Linked DNA regions of Neodiprion lecontei. The main gene of each other region encodes a partner of the protein of the gene in region 2 in a complex. Links are inferred from orthologs where the notes say so. Each region holds a gene or a part of one and is shown on either strand. Other genes may lie near its edges.

Region 1 (3,812 bases), about 31 Mb from region 2:
TAACACAGTGTCTGGATCAATTCGCCTGATCTTTACCTCAACGACTGGAATAATGAAGCATAAGAACTTCACTCAATCGATAATGAACACTGCCTTAGGCTATTTCCTTGATTCACGAAAAACTGACTGCATGTATCTACGGAATTATTTTTCGAGCACGCTACCAGTTTGCGGAATATTTTTCAAATATCTAGATACATGTTACTTTTCAGCATGTATGAATTCGACGATATTCCAATGAGCCTCGAATTTTACTCTCGAATTAATATTCTATGCATTACAATCAAGATGAATCAGATTGGCATAGACCTATACCGATTGTACTGCTAAAGATAAAAGATACGCGAATCAGTTATCTGTTCTCTTTGAAAACGTTGCTTATAAGTATCGGACAAAATTTTCTTCTGAAATTCTTCAGTTTAATCACAAATATAAATGCAAAATTAGTTATAGTAGTAACTCCAACTAATTGTAAGTTCCAAAATTGCCTGTATGATTGCTGTAATATTCATAACAAGATAAATAAATAGATTTATTTACAGTCGAGTGATTCATTATTTTTACATCAGTAAGCTTGAATCTTTTAATACAATTTCTGGAAACTGTAGAACTTGTTCGATCCACTTGGCAGTAGTGAGCATCTGTTGTTCGTGAAGAACTGGAGCCATAAGTTGCAAAGAAAGGGGAAGCCCGTTGCTAGACAGCCTTACAGGAAAACTGACAGCGGGAACTCCTGCCATGTTTGCAGGTTGCGTGCAGACATCCTGGATCGAGCACTGAGTTTGATTATCCATGGAGATGAATTCCCGATACCTTGGGGCATCGGTAAGTGTAGTGGGAGTGAGCAGCAAGTCGATATCAGAGTTCCAGACTTTTTCAAAGTCCTCGTAAATCAACCTGCGCACTTTCATGGCCCTGACAAAATAGTTTTCGTAATTTTCAGCCAATAAGAAGTAATTTCCCGTCAAAATCCTGCTCCTCACTACTTCGTTAAACCCTTTGCACCTCGTCTCGGCATAAAGTTGCTCCGTAGACTCGTTCTGGTCTACCCTAAGTCCGAATTCAATTCCATCGTAACGAGCCATGTTGCTCGCAACCTCGCATTGATTTAGAACTGAGTAACAAACAATAGAGTGCTCCGTGTGGGGCATAGATACAGGAACTATTTTTGCTCCCCCTTCTTCCAAGTGCTTAGATACATCTAGCAAGCATTTTTCAACTTCCACGTTCAGCCCTGGTGGCTTGTACTGCTTTGGGATTCCTATCCTCAGGCCGTCTACGCTTGGACATTCCGGCAATTCGATTGGGGTGAATTCCTTCTTTAGCATCGTCGAGTCAAAATCGTCGGGCCCAGCAATGGCGTTCAGCACCAGAACCGCGTCATCTATTTTTCTAGTAATTATTCCAGGCACATCCATCGAATTCACAAGTGGAATCAAACCGTGACGAGACACCAAGCCATAGGTTGGTTTGAGGCCAACAAGCCCACAGTAGGATGCTGGATTTCGAGTCGAGCCTCCAGTGTCTGAACCTAGAGCGGCGTAACAGGACCCTGTGGCAACGGCGATGGCTGAACCTCCGCTACTCCCCCCAGCGATGTGCCAATTGTCTGGAACATCGCTGGTTTCCTTGTTGCTTGTTTCTGACTCGGAGGAAGGGTGACAAAAGTAATTGTTCATAAAGGTCGATTTCCACAAATTTTTTGTCGGCCCAAAATACGAGTCTATTGTCCCTGAGCCCATGGCGAACTGATCGAGATTAGTCTTACCGATCAAAACTGCTCCAACATTCTTTAAACGGCTATATACCGTAGCGTCATATTCAGGAACAAAATTAGCCAGCATCAAAGATGCGCAGGTCGTTGCTGTGCCACTTGTACAAAAGTTATCCTTGATCGCTATTGGAATTCCATCGAGGGTTCCTAGAGGCTGACTTTCGGCGTATCTAGCATCTGATTCCTGTGCCTGCAACTCTGCCGATCCTCCGGTCACACAAATATACGCGTTTAGCGGCTTTGACGCATTTGCCAGCTTCACCGCGGCTCTGCAAATCTCGGATGGCTTCAATTCGCCGGCATTCAGTTTGTTACTCACTTGTTTTATCGGTCGTGACAGTATCTTATTCATTGTCTCAGTTTGTTTGTTACTTGTCAGGATTAAGATTGTGTATTACATAACCTCAACTTTTAAACAACCCCGGCATCTCGTGATTAACCACGCTTTCAACAATTCGATATTCGATTCATGAATTTTTTAAATCACGCGTATGATTGCTACACGGGTAATCTAAAATTAGGCGTACGAGGCACGCGTTACACGCGCGAAATTCAAAGTGAGAAAACTACGTTGGATCAATGATGTGTAGTAGGAAAACGAAGAACGTTGAATGTAGAATTAGAATTCGATTTATTTATTTGTCTACCTTTAGTCATGGAAAGCGTGAATATTTTCGACAAATAGACCAATCTCGACTATATCGAACACTAGCTCACATGTCATGGAAAAGAATTTCAGCGTAAACAATAAAGTATTTGGTTCCGGTCTACTGACAATGAGTCTATACGAGAATTTGACGGTGATACTTTAGATGTAACAATAGATAAACTTTAATTCATACATGTATTACATGCAAAGCTGTTACCGTTTGAAGCGACCGGCGCTTTTGCGCGATTGCCTTGCGATATTTCAGAATACATATCTAAATCTATGTCTAATACGAACTTTCTATACAATAATATACACGAATCTCTTCCTCGAACAATATGAAACAAATTTCTAAGGGCACGGAATTTTTCTTCAATATGCTTATACATTTATAGTATTATCGAAAACATACCCATCGAAAGTGAACGCAGATATTGCGCCGGTTTTACGTTAAATTCATCAGCTGCTTGAAGAGTTCTAGATTAGAAAAAGTATTCCTTGAACATACGGAAAATGTTATCACTCGCATATGTCAAATTCAAAAATTACTCCTATACGTTAAATCAAACCTAAAGTGTTCGCGTTCCTCAGTTCTCGACTTTTTATGTTACTACCATGGATATTCCGATACGAAATCACGAACCGAGCTGCTATTACTATATCGCGAATCTATCTTGAAATGTAAATTTTTCCTAAGATAGATTTAATTCATCCATGTACTAGTCAATTTACGAATTGCTTTCACATTACTAGCTATATGACATTCGTTATAACATGAAGTTCGGAAAACTGCTACTATTTTACGACTTAGAACGTATTATTCAATAGTGTACACAATGTAAAAGACTAGACTGAAAGTCATAAAAGAATCGCCACAATATCTCCTCTAAATAAACGCATCATTGTTTTCTACAGTCGGTTATAGTTCAACGAGCTTGACTATCTCCCGTGTTCATAAAATAATCTCATAAAATATAATTCGCGCAGATCAACGGTAACTGTGCCAATGTTAAGTTTAGCGGACAATATACATATTTTGTGCTCAATAATGTAAAGCTGACTTAAAACTCAGTATTATATCTTGATGATCATTTCAAGCTGTATTCGAAAAATACTAACCCTAGATAAATTCGGTTGTTATATATGTATGAATCAATAATCCCTCCAATATTCATACTAGCAATAGTAATTTGTTTGAATGATTATTCAAATAAGAAGTTGTCATATTGAACCCCAGCTGTCATCCGTTTCCTACGCCTTCCGACATACCTCAAATGAACAGAAGCGGTCCATCTAAATGGTTTAATTTTAAACCTTTGCTATTTTTTTCACATTTAACACGATTTCGATCTTTAACATACAAGTAAATCACGATATTTTCACCTGCAA
Region 2 (7,771 bases):
CTTGTAAATTCGAAGCAGCATAACTTGAGTCCATAACTGTATAGCCTTTATAAAAAAAAATAATAACAGAGTTTACTGTATGCAGATATATCATTTGTCAAGATTTCACAATTTTCAATGACTATTATATATAAATGCTTCGGATATGCGACGCTTGCGTAAATCAGTATACATGGTTTATTTAAAAAAAAAGTAAATCCTGTTTCCAACTAGCACAGTGATTAGTGTTTATTTAATGGTAATGCGAATATCTACATATTTATTTATTTGATTGCAGGTAATTGCACTTGATCTTAATACACAGATACTGGTAAATACTATTCTTGATTAAGTGAAAAAATCAAACGTCTTACCAGAGCAAAGCTTATGATTAAATCTTGACAGTAGTTGAACCAACTGAAATCAAATGCAATCCAATTCCCAATGATGATGACTAGTGACTCATATTTAAAAAGAAAAAAGTAACAGGCATGGCAATCGCAGGATTCGGAATGAAATCCTTTTTGTCATATTACGATTATTTGATTAACCTGCGATTTGTTGTGTATTGTTGTGCTTATTCAGAAGTACTTTCAGGACTGTTGTGATTTAATGAAAATGATTATCTGCTTACAATTTACCAAATCTTGTGTAATTTTAGCACACAGCTCCCAGACATGTTTTGTGGAAATATGGACAGACAATCCTGTCCCACCCATCTGTACATATTTTGTTTCGTTTTACTACTTCAACTATTAAAACTACACACGAACGTTTTGCGAGCAACAATATAACTACGCAGGGAGACTGAATTTTCTAGTCTCCAAAATTACCACAATGTACCACAAACATATATTTATTTCCTACATGATTTTGTACTTCTAATGAATAATGCAATTAAAATTTCAACATGTCTTTTATATTTCCGATGTTTCTAACGTGAACACTACTTAAATATATTGCAATAGAAATCAATATTGCTTCCATATTCGTCTTCTAATTCTCCAAATTATTCCTCACGGATACTGTTTCTTAGTCGAGGAATTTAATAGGATAAAATGTTCGATATATTCTTGCTTGTTCAATAGGGCATTAAAAAAGAACAGTTTAAAATTTTTGAACGGCTGCTCCTCTTAAAATTCAGTGTTTCCCAAAAGGACTATCCACAAATATAAGGCCTAAGGTCAAGAAACGAAGGTCGCTCTCTCAATTCACATGTCTCCCCGTGTATTTCTCATTTAGATAACATGTGAAAACTACATTCTCATATTCAGTCACTCTCTCTCGTTTTTTATTAAAATAAATCAATGAATAAATTCTTACGACTTTTCCTGCATAGCAGAGTAATTATTTTATTTGAAACGTTGTTTAAGAAGATGTAAAATTCAGTAACGACAAGAAAAATTCAACTAACAATGTCTCATTCATCTAACAGTTTTTTCAATATATTTACAACAGTGGCCATATCAGCACGATTTTTAGTTTCCTGGGCTACAGCACCCACCAGAGCTCTGAAAACTTTTGTCTTTCCAGCTTTATACTTTTTTACAACATCAGCTCGCTGCAGCAGTATATTTTTGCATATTTGAGTTAATTGATGTTCATCTGTGATCTGAGTCCAATTATTTTTCTCAACAATCTACAAACAAATAACATACATTAAAGAAAAGTAAAATTTTACATACATATCCACCCATGTATACAATCTGTCTATGTATGGCTACACTGAAACGAAATTTACTTGTTTAGGAGTCATCGACGATTCAGTTATGTACTCTTCCAGTACGTTTTCGGCAGTAGTTAAATTGATTGTTTTGTTTTGTAGCATGTCCACCAATTCACCAATATGTTGCGCATTCAAAATACTAGAAGATAAATTAGTTGATGAAAGAATTTATTATTATTTCATGTAGTAATAGTTTTACCGTGTTTCCATACCAAGTATCCAGTTCTAATGCTTTTCTGTTAACCACTGTTAGCAACTGGTTGATCAATATGTTTGATACAAGCTTGGGTTTTCGTTTACTGTCTTCTTTGACAACAGCTTCGAAGATATTCAGCAAATTGTTTTCATTCTGAAAAAGTTTCATATTTGCATCAATGTATTCACGGATAAATAATTCATAAGGTTTCCACCAAAAGGGGTTGAGAAGCTATTAGTTGACGACAACGATGACCACTAGCATTGCCTTTGTATCCTAGGGATTCTCTTTTACTTTATATCGCATAACAGCAATTGAAATGTAAATGAATTTGGTTCAGTGTGGCAATATCTTTAACCATTCACTGGCCGTGTGCTTTTTTGTACACATCGCTGTCCAATATATACGAATTCGATTATAATTAAACTAAAATTCAAGGAACAGAAATCGTTTACTTTTGAATATTTGGTGGAATAATTGGAATTTTCTTTAATAATACAAACTCACAGTAAGTATAATGGCGGCAGTTGAGTCGAGTCCAAAATTATTTTTAAGATTATATCGTGTTTCCTCTGGAAGCTCGGGAAGGCTTTCTTGCAGAAGTGGAACATCAACCAATCCATACTTATTTTTTATTTCTTTAGTGACGTGTACGTGCAATGGCGGAAGATTTGGTTCTGGCATAAAACGATAATCCTGTAATGTGACTTAAATTTTTTTTTACATGAATTTATAAAGAATCTTATTCTATCCTTCAGAACTGCACCACACAAATGTGATCTGATATAGTATGCCTATAAGTAAACTAGAAATTCAAATTAAACTTTCTAGTTGAAGGCACCGTAAAGATTTTAAGGTTTATGTACAGAAATTAATATGAATTCAAACTTGTATGAGGAAAGTACTCTGATTGAAAAATCACCAGAGAACATCAAAAATACAATAAAGGTAAAGTGCCACCAATACTGCGATTATTATACTACAAACCAGGAGCTGTGTTTACAATTCGTAATGTATAAAGGTCTTTGAAAGTAGCTTATTAACAATAGCGTCACATATGAATGGAATTCTGACAGTCTGTTTGCAACAGTAAACGAAGATTTTGTAAAAAGTTGAAAGACTTCTCAGTAAAAAACGGAATCGCCATGTCACTTAAATGTGACAAGATTGTCAACCGCTATAATAGAATTGCGCAACACACTCTTACAGAAATACCATATTTTCAAAGTATGCATTCTATACCTGCTTTTCTTCTTTATCTCGCATTGGAACTGTTTTGCGAATTTCCGTGTCCCATGACCTTGTTTCATTAATAATTGTACCACCATTCTCAATTTCTGTAATCTGTCTGTCAATTTCAAACTTTACAGCAGCTGCCACTGACCTAATACTTCCAATGTTCTTGACTTCTGTTCGCGTGCCCAATTTTTCCCCTGGTCGATTCACAGAGATATTGGCGTCAACTCGAAGGGCGCCCTCTGAATTCAGATCATTATGCGTAATGGCCATACTTCTTTGTTGTTAATCTTTTTTTTCATACCACTTTACCTTCCATTTTACAGGAGCACGTCCCCAATCTTTTCAGAATGAGTACGATCTCTTTGACTAGCGCAGCAGCCTCTTCGCCATCTGATAAGTCCGGCTCGAATACCAATTCCATCAGTGGTATCCCTGCTCGATTAAGATCGACCAAACTTCTGTTATTGTTGATCATAAAATAAAAATTCAATCCGTAAGTGTCTGTTAATATCTTTCAAGTTGATAATGGTCTGAGACAAAGTAAAGAATTTAAGTATTTGACCCAAAAGTGTAAGGCATAATCGAAATTAAAGCTAAACTTCAGAAGGTAACGATTTTGAGTTCTCAAGTTTTGTTTAAGCCAGGGCAAATATAACAAGGACATTCAAGACTTCACGTAGGTATAGATTTTTAGAATTTTTACAGAAATTTCACACACATGAAAATTAGAAATGTACTCTGCAGTGCTTTGTGTAAGACACAGATTGATCTGAAACAGCTTAAACTCGTGCGCTTCACGAAATGGAATCAATATATAATAATGGCTAGCACTTGGTTTCCAAACTCTTCGTACATGGTATAGTGAGAAAGCGAAAATTGCAGATAAATCGGTGAAGACATACATAATTAATACTTGACAATACTTTTGGCATAAGCAGGAAACAATTTTTCTCCAAATTTGTATAGATGAGTTAGGAGGTTTGTTTTACCTATATTAAAATGATGTACAATCCGAACGCATTACGAGAATATTTATATAAGTCAGTGATTGTTTTACTTCAGCAACAGGTCTACCAGCGAACAAAATATCCACAATAATTAAGAGTAATTTAATTGTAGCAACAGTTACAGCAAATAGGTATTGAATCTCTGACAGCACCTTTTTGCTATTAAATCGTGTAAGCTTTTGCCACTATCTTGTTCCAGTTGCAGCTGCTTGATTTTAGAAACTTTGCTGTAGGGTCGTGGATGAATACCCGGTGTATATACTTGGAAATTGAGTTCTCCATCTATAGCCAAGGCTTGACGTTGCTGAGTTATTTGATATCCTGCCTGTAAATATGTATCATTTAGCCTCAAGCAATTTAATACTACCTGTCTAGAAGATTAACTCGTCGTGACAATATGCCCAACCACAGCTCATACAGTAATTGCATCAAATTTAAAAATGAAGTTCGCCATATTCAAACAGTGGGTTTTATAAAGTTCAAAATTTGAATTACTTTCTAGTCAACTTACTGGCAAATCTGCATAGAAATAATGTTTTCTATCAAACAATGATACTTCGTTTACTTTGCAGGATAGCGCCAGAGCAGTTAGTATTCCTGCTTCGACGCATCTTTTATTCAGTACCTAAAAATCATAATATCAAATTCATAAAGCAATTCACCTGCAAAAAGCAGATGCAGTACGAAACTTTACTCATCAGTGATTATCCTTACAGGTAGTGTTCCCGGTGTAGCACAATCAAAGAATGAAACGTTACTGTTTATCGGGGAACCATACATGGTGCTTGAACCAGAAAATAACTTTGAATTCGATTGAATTTGGGCGTGAATTTCGAGTCCAACGACACTGCGCCATTTTTTCCTAAAACATTTATTGGCATCAAGGAGTATTTCGAAACGAGCTAATGGAAATTTTTCAAAACGTTCCTGATGTGTTCATTGACACCATAGAAAATTGATTTTTTTTCACATGGATACTACACTTTTATGGAGGTATTTGTTAATCCTTATGAAATCGATTTTGTACCACTTTAAAGTAAGTTTCAAAAATGACACGCATGTCCCCCAGTTAAGTAGAAAGAATTTAAATAATTTTATAAATCTTGCTTGTTGTTACTTTGTTTCAGCTCGAGACTTGGCTTCTGTACCAAAACAATGTTTCAACATCCGGAGATAAGGCTTGTTTTCGCGCCATCGTTTGATGCAAGGGTTAATTTTCCAACAGTTCGTGTAATTCATTGGATATTTCAAATAAATTTTCACTATTTTTACAGGCTCTCCGTCGCTCGCGTTGGCTGTGTCGTATGTATTGTACGTACATACACGCATACATAACCTCGCCCCACAATTAGGTGTGATACGGATTGTCACAGCTGACGACCACTAAATTCTATCTAGATGGACCTATACCTATATTGAACACGTGCGCTTCGTGCAGCGCTAATATACGTTGTTCGCAGCGACCCTAGACGCGTGCAATCGATTCCACTCGCAAAATTACATCGACGTATATCAGAGTTAAGATCTTTTCGCGTGTTTAGAAGCATAATATTTTTATATCCGAGAATTAATTCAATGGACCCTGTTCAGACTAATCGAACCCTAGGGAAGCCAAACAAGACATGTAGGACATCGTAGAATCAATGACTGAGGATAAACGGATGAATTTTTTCGTTGCTTGAATGTCACTTCTGAGATTTGGATACTATGGGAAATTATGAAAGCTTAGTAATGATGCGTGTAATATTGCTTAAGACAATTACAAAGTGCTTGGTTTTTCAAGACGAGTCCACTCTTGGAATTTCCTTCAAACTTATATGTTTAAAAAGAAATTAAAGTTTAGAGGATTTGCCCGTACACTTATGATTGGGTTTAATTATATTGTGGATCGGTTTTAAACGGTTCATTAATGAATACTGATAATGTTCTTACGAGAGATGGTCATACAGAAGTTATTTCTAGGTGATGAATTACAAGATAATTAAGCCAGATATTAATTTGTCGCTTAAAACTATAATAATTAATATAAGTAACATTACATTGTATCTATATCAGTTATTCATAAATTCTATATATATGTAGTGATAAAAATAATCATTGCAGTCTACTGCACACGTTGACGCCTACGTGCAGTTTGGTGCGCATGTTTATCAAACCGCAATTCCATTTCCTCCAAAAGACGAGGAGTATAGCGAACAACTAACTTCACCGAGTTTTGGGCTTGTTTCAGCGATTCCACAGCTGTCTCATGATTTTCGCCTTCAATACACTAGAGGAAATGAGAAAAATACAATATTTACACTATCCTGTATCATCGTATAAATTCTTGAATGGCAACGTTCGAGTATGATTAAATCTTAATATTTCATCAATGTAAAAATTTCACATTACGTACCACGCCATTAACAGACAGTAACTGGTCACCACGTTTCAAACCACCATGTCTGTCGGCCACACCTCCTGGAATAATTCGAGATATATATACAGGTGAATTTTGCTCTTTTCCTCCCATCACATTGAATCCAAGACCCTCCTCTGTTTTCGGTAATTCAACAACTCGCGGATGGGCATGTCCTTCACTTGCCGCAAAAGCAGCCACAGTCGCCTTGGCTGTGGCGGAAGCACGCACATCTTGAGAACCCTGTACCAAAAATTCCACATACTCTTATATTAGAGTGGTTTTAAACAGGATAGTTCTAATAAACTCAAAGTCTCAAAAACTCATGAATGGCGTATGCCAGGCACCAATTAAAGTATATGTTACGAATCGTTTGAATGTTCTCCAAAACTTTGGCGTCAGAGAAAGATTGATTATTTTATGAAAAAGGTATAATTGCTTATACTTAGTATTACCTGAATATCAACAGTCTCATACACGTGTTCATAGACTTCTCTTACTGCATTGAGAAAGTCGCTTTGTAGTACCTTCTGCAGAGCTGCTAACTTTGTAGCCGGTACTTCACCACCTAAAATAAGTCAGTATCAATCAAATATTCAAGATAAACTTAATTGCAATATAAATACATTACTCGATGATGTTATTTATGAAAACTTTATACAAACCATTTTAATTTGTAATAATCTAACAAATATTTGTTTTGGTAAGGATGTAGGTAATTTAAAAAAAATTTCAATCATCAACTTACTTTTCTGTAGTTTGTCGAGGAGTTCGATCGATCTTTTGACATCTATAAAAACACAAATAAACATAAGCGAGTACCAGAATGAAAAAATAGTGAATGTCCATTCTAGTAACTAATAATTAGATGATACTACAGACATACAGACAATTGAATGAATTGAAGTACCAAATTATACATTTCTTATTCTGCAATTACTTATTCAATGAATTTAGTTACATGATCAATCTAATTACTAATCACACCCAGAAGCGTATCTACGAATTGAAAACTATCCGGCGTTTGCACGACGAACTGACAGTACTCCAAACTGAGTAAACAAGAGCAATAAGTTAACTTACCCCTGGCTAATGTGAGAGGTTCCCCAATCGTTGCCATGGCTGTTAAGCGAGAGTACAAATATTTCTAATATGATAATTACTATCTTTGTTCTCCGCAATGATCACTCAGTATTTTTTTCTCAACTTTCACCAACAATGTTCTC

Evidence for each region.
Region 1: glutamyl-tRNA(Gln) amidotransferase subunit B, mitochondrial (region 2) and glutamyl-tRNA(Gln) amidotransferase subunit A, mitochondrial share a complex: the UniProt entries of both Homo sapiens proteins name them as parts of the heterotrimeric GatCAB amidotransferase (AdT) complex. The link is inferred for Neodiprion lecontei from reciprocal best matches to the Homo sapiens genes GATB and QRSL1.

Annotation. Positions count from the first base shown.
Region 1 is NC_060261.1:38,345,298-38,349,109, forward strand, and holds glutamyl-tRNA(Gln) amidotransferase subunit A, mitochondrial, read right to left. Parts: upstream 2,227-3,812; 5' UTR 2,127-2,226; coding exon 561-2,126; 3' UTR 512-560; downstream 1-511. UniProt on the Homo sapiens protein: Allows the formation of correctly charged Gln-tRNA(Gln) through the transamidation of misacylated Glu-tRNA(Gln) in the mitochondria. The reaction takes place in the presence of glutamine and ATP through an activated gamma-phospho-Glu-tRNA(Gln).
Region 2 is NC_060261.1:6,984,465-6,992,235, reverse strand, and holds glutamyl-tRNA(Gln) amidotransferase subunit B, mitochondrial, read right to left. Parts: upstream 5,883-7,771; 5' UTR 5,477-5,882; coding exon 5,265-5,476; intron 5,010-5,264; coding exon 4,862-5,009; intron 4,773-4,861; coding exon 4,659-4,772; intron 4,473-4,658; coding exon 4,300-4,472; intron 3,599-4,299; coding exon 3,450-3,598; intron 3,380-3,449; coding exon 3,144-3,379; intron 2,598-3,143; coding exon 2,409-2,597; intron 2,055-2,408; coding exon 1,918-2,054; exon of another isoform or gene 1,905-1,917; intron 1,845-1,904; coding exon 1,721-1,844; intron 1,619-1,720; coding exon 1,400-1,618; 3' UTR 517-1,399; downstream 1-516. Other genes in the region: protein lin-7 homolog C, read right to left, coding at 6,252-6,416, 6,543-6,788, 7,001-7,113, 7,294-7,335, 7,629-7,665. UniProt on the Homo sapiens protein: Allows the formation of correctly charged Gln-tRNA(Gln) through the transamidation of misacylated Glu-tRNA(Gln) in the mitochondria. The reaction takes place in the presence of glutamine and ATP through an activated gamma-phospho-Glu-tRNA(Gln).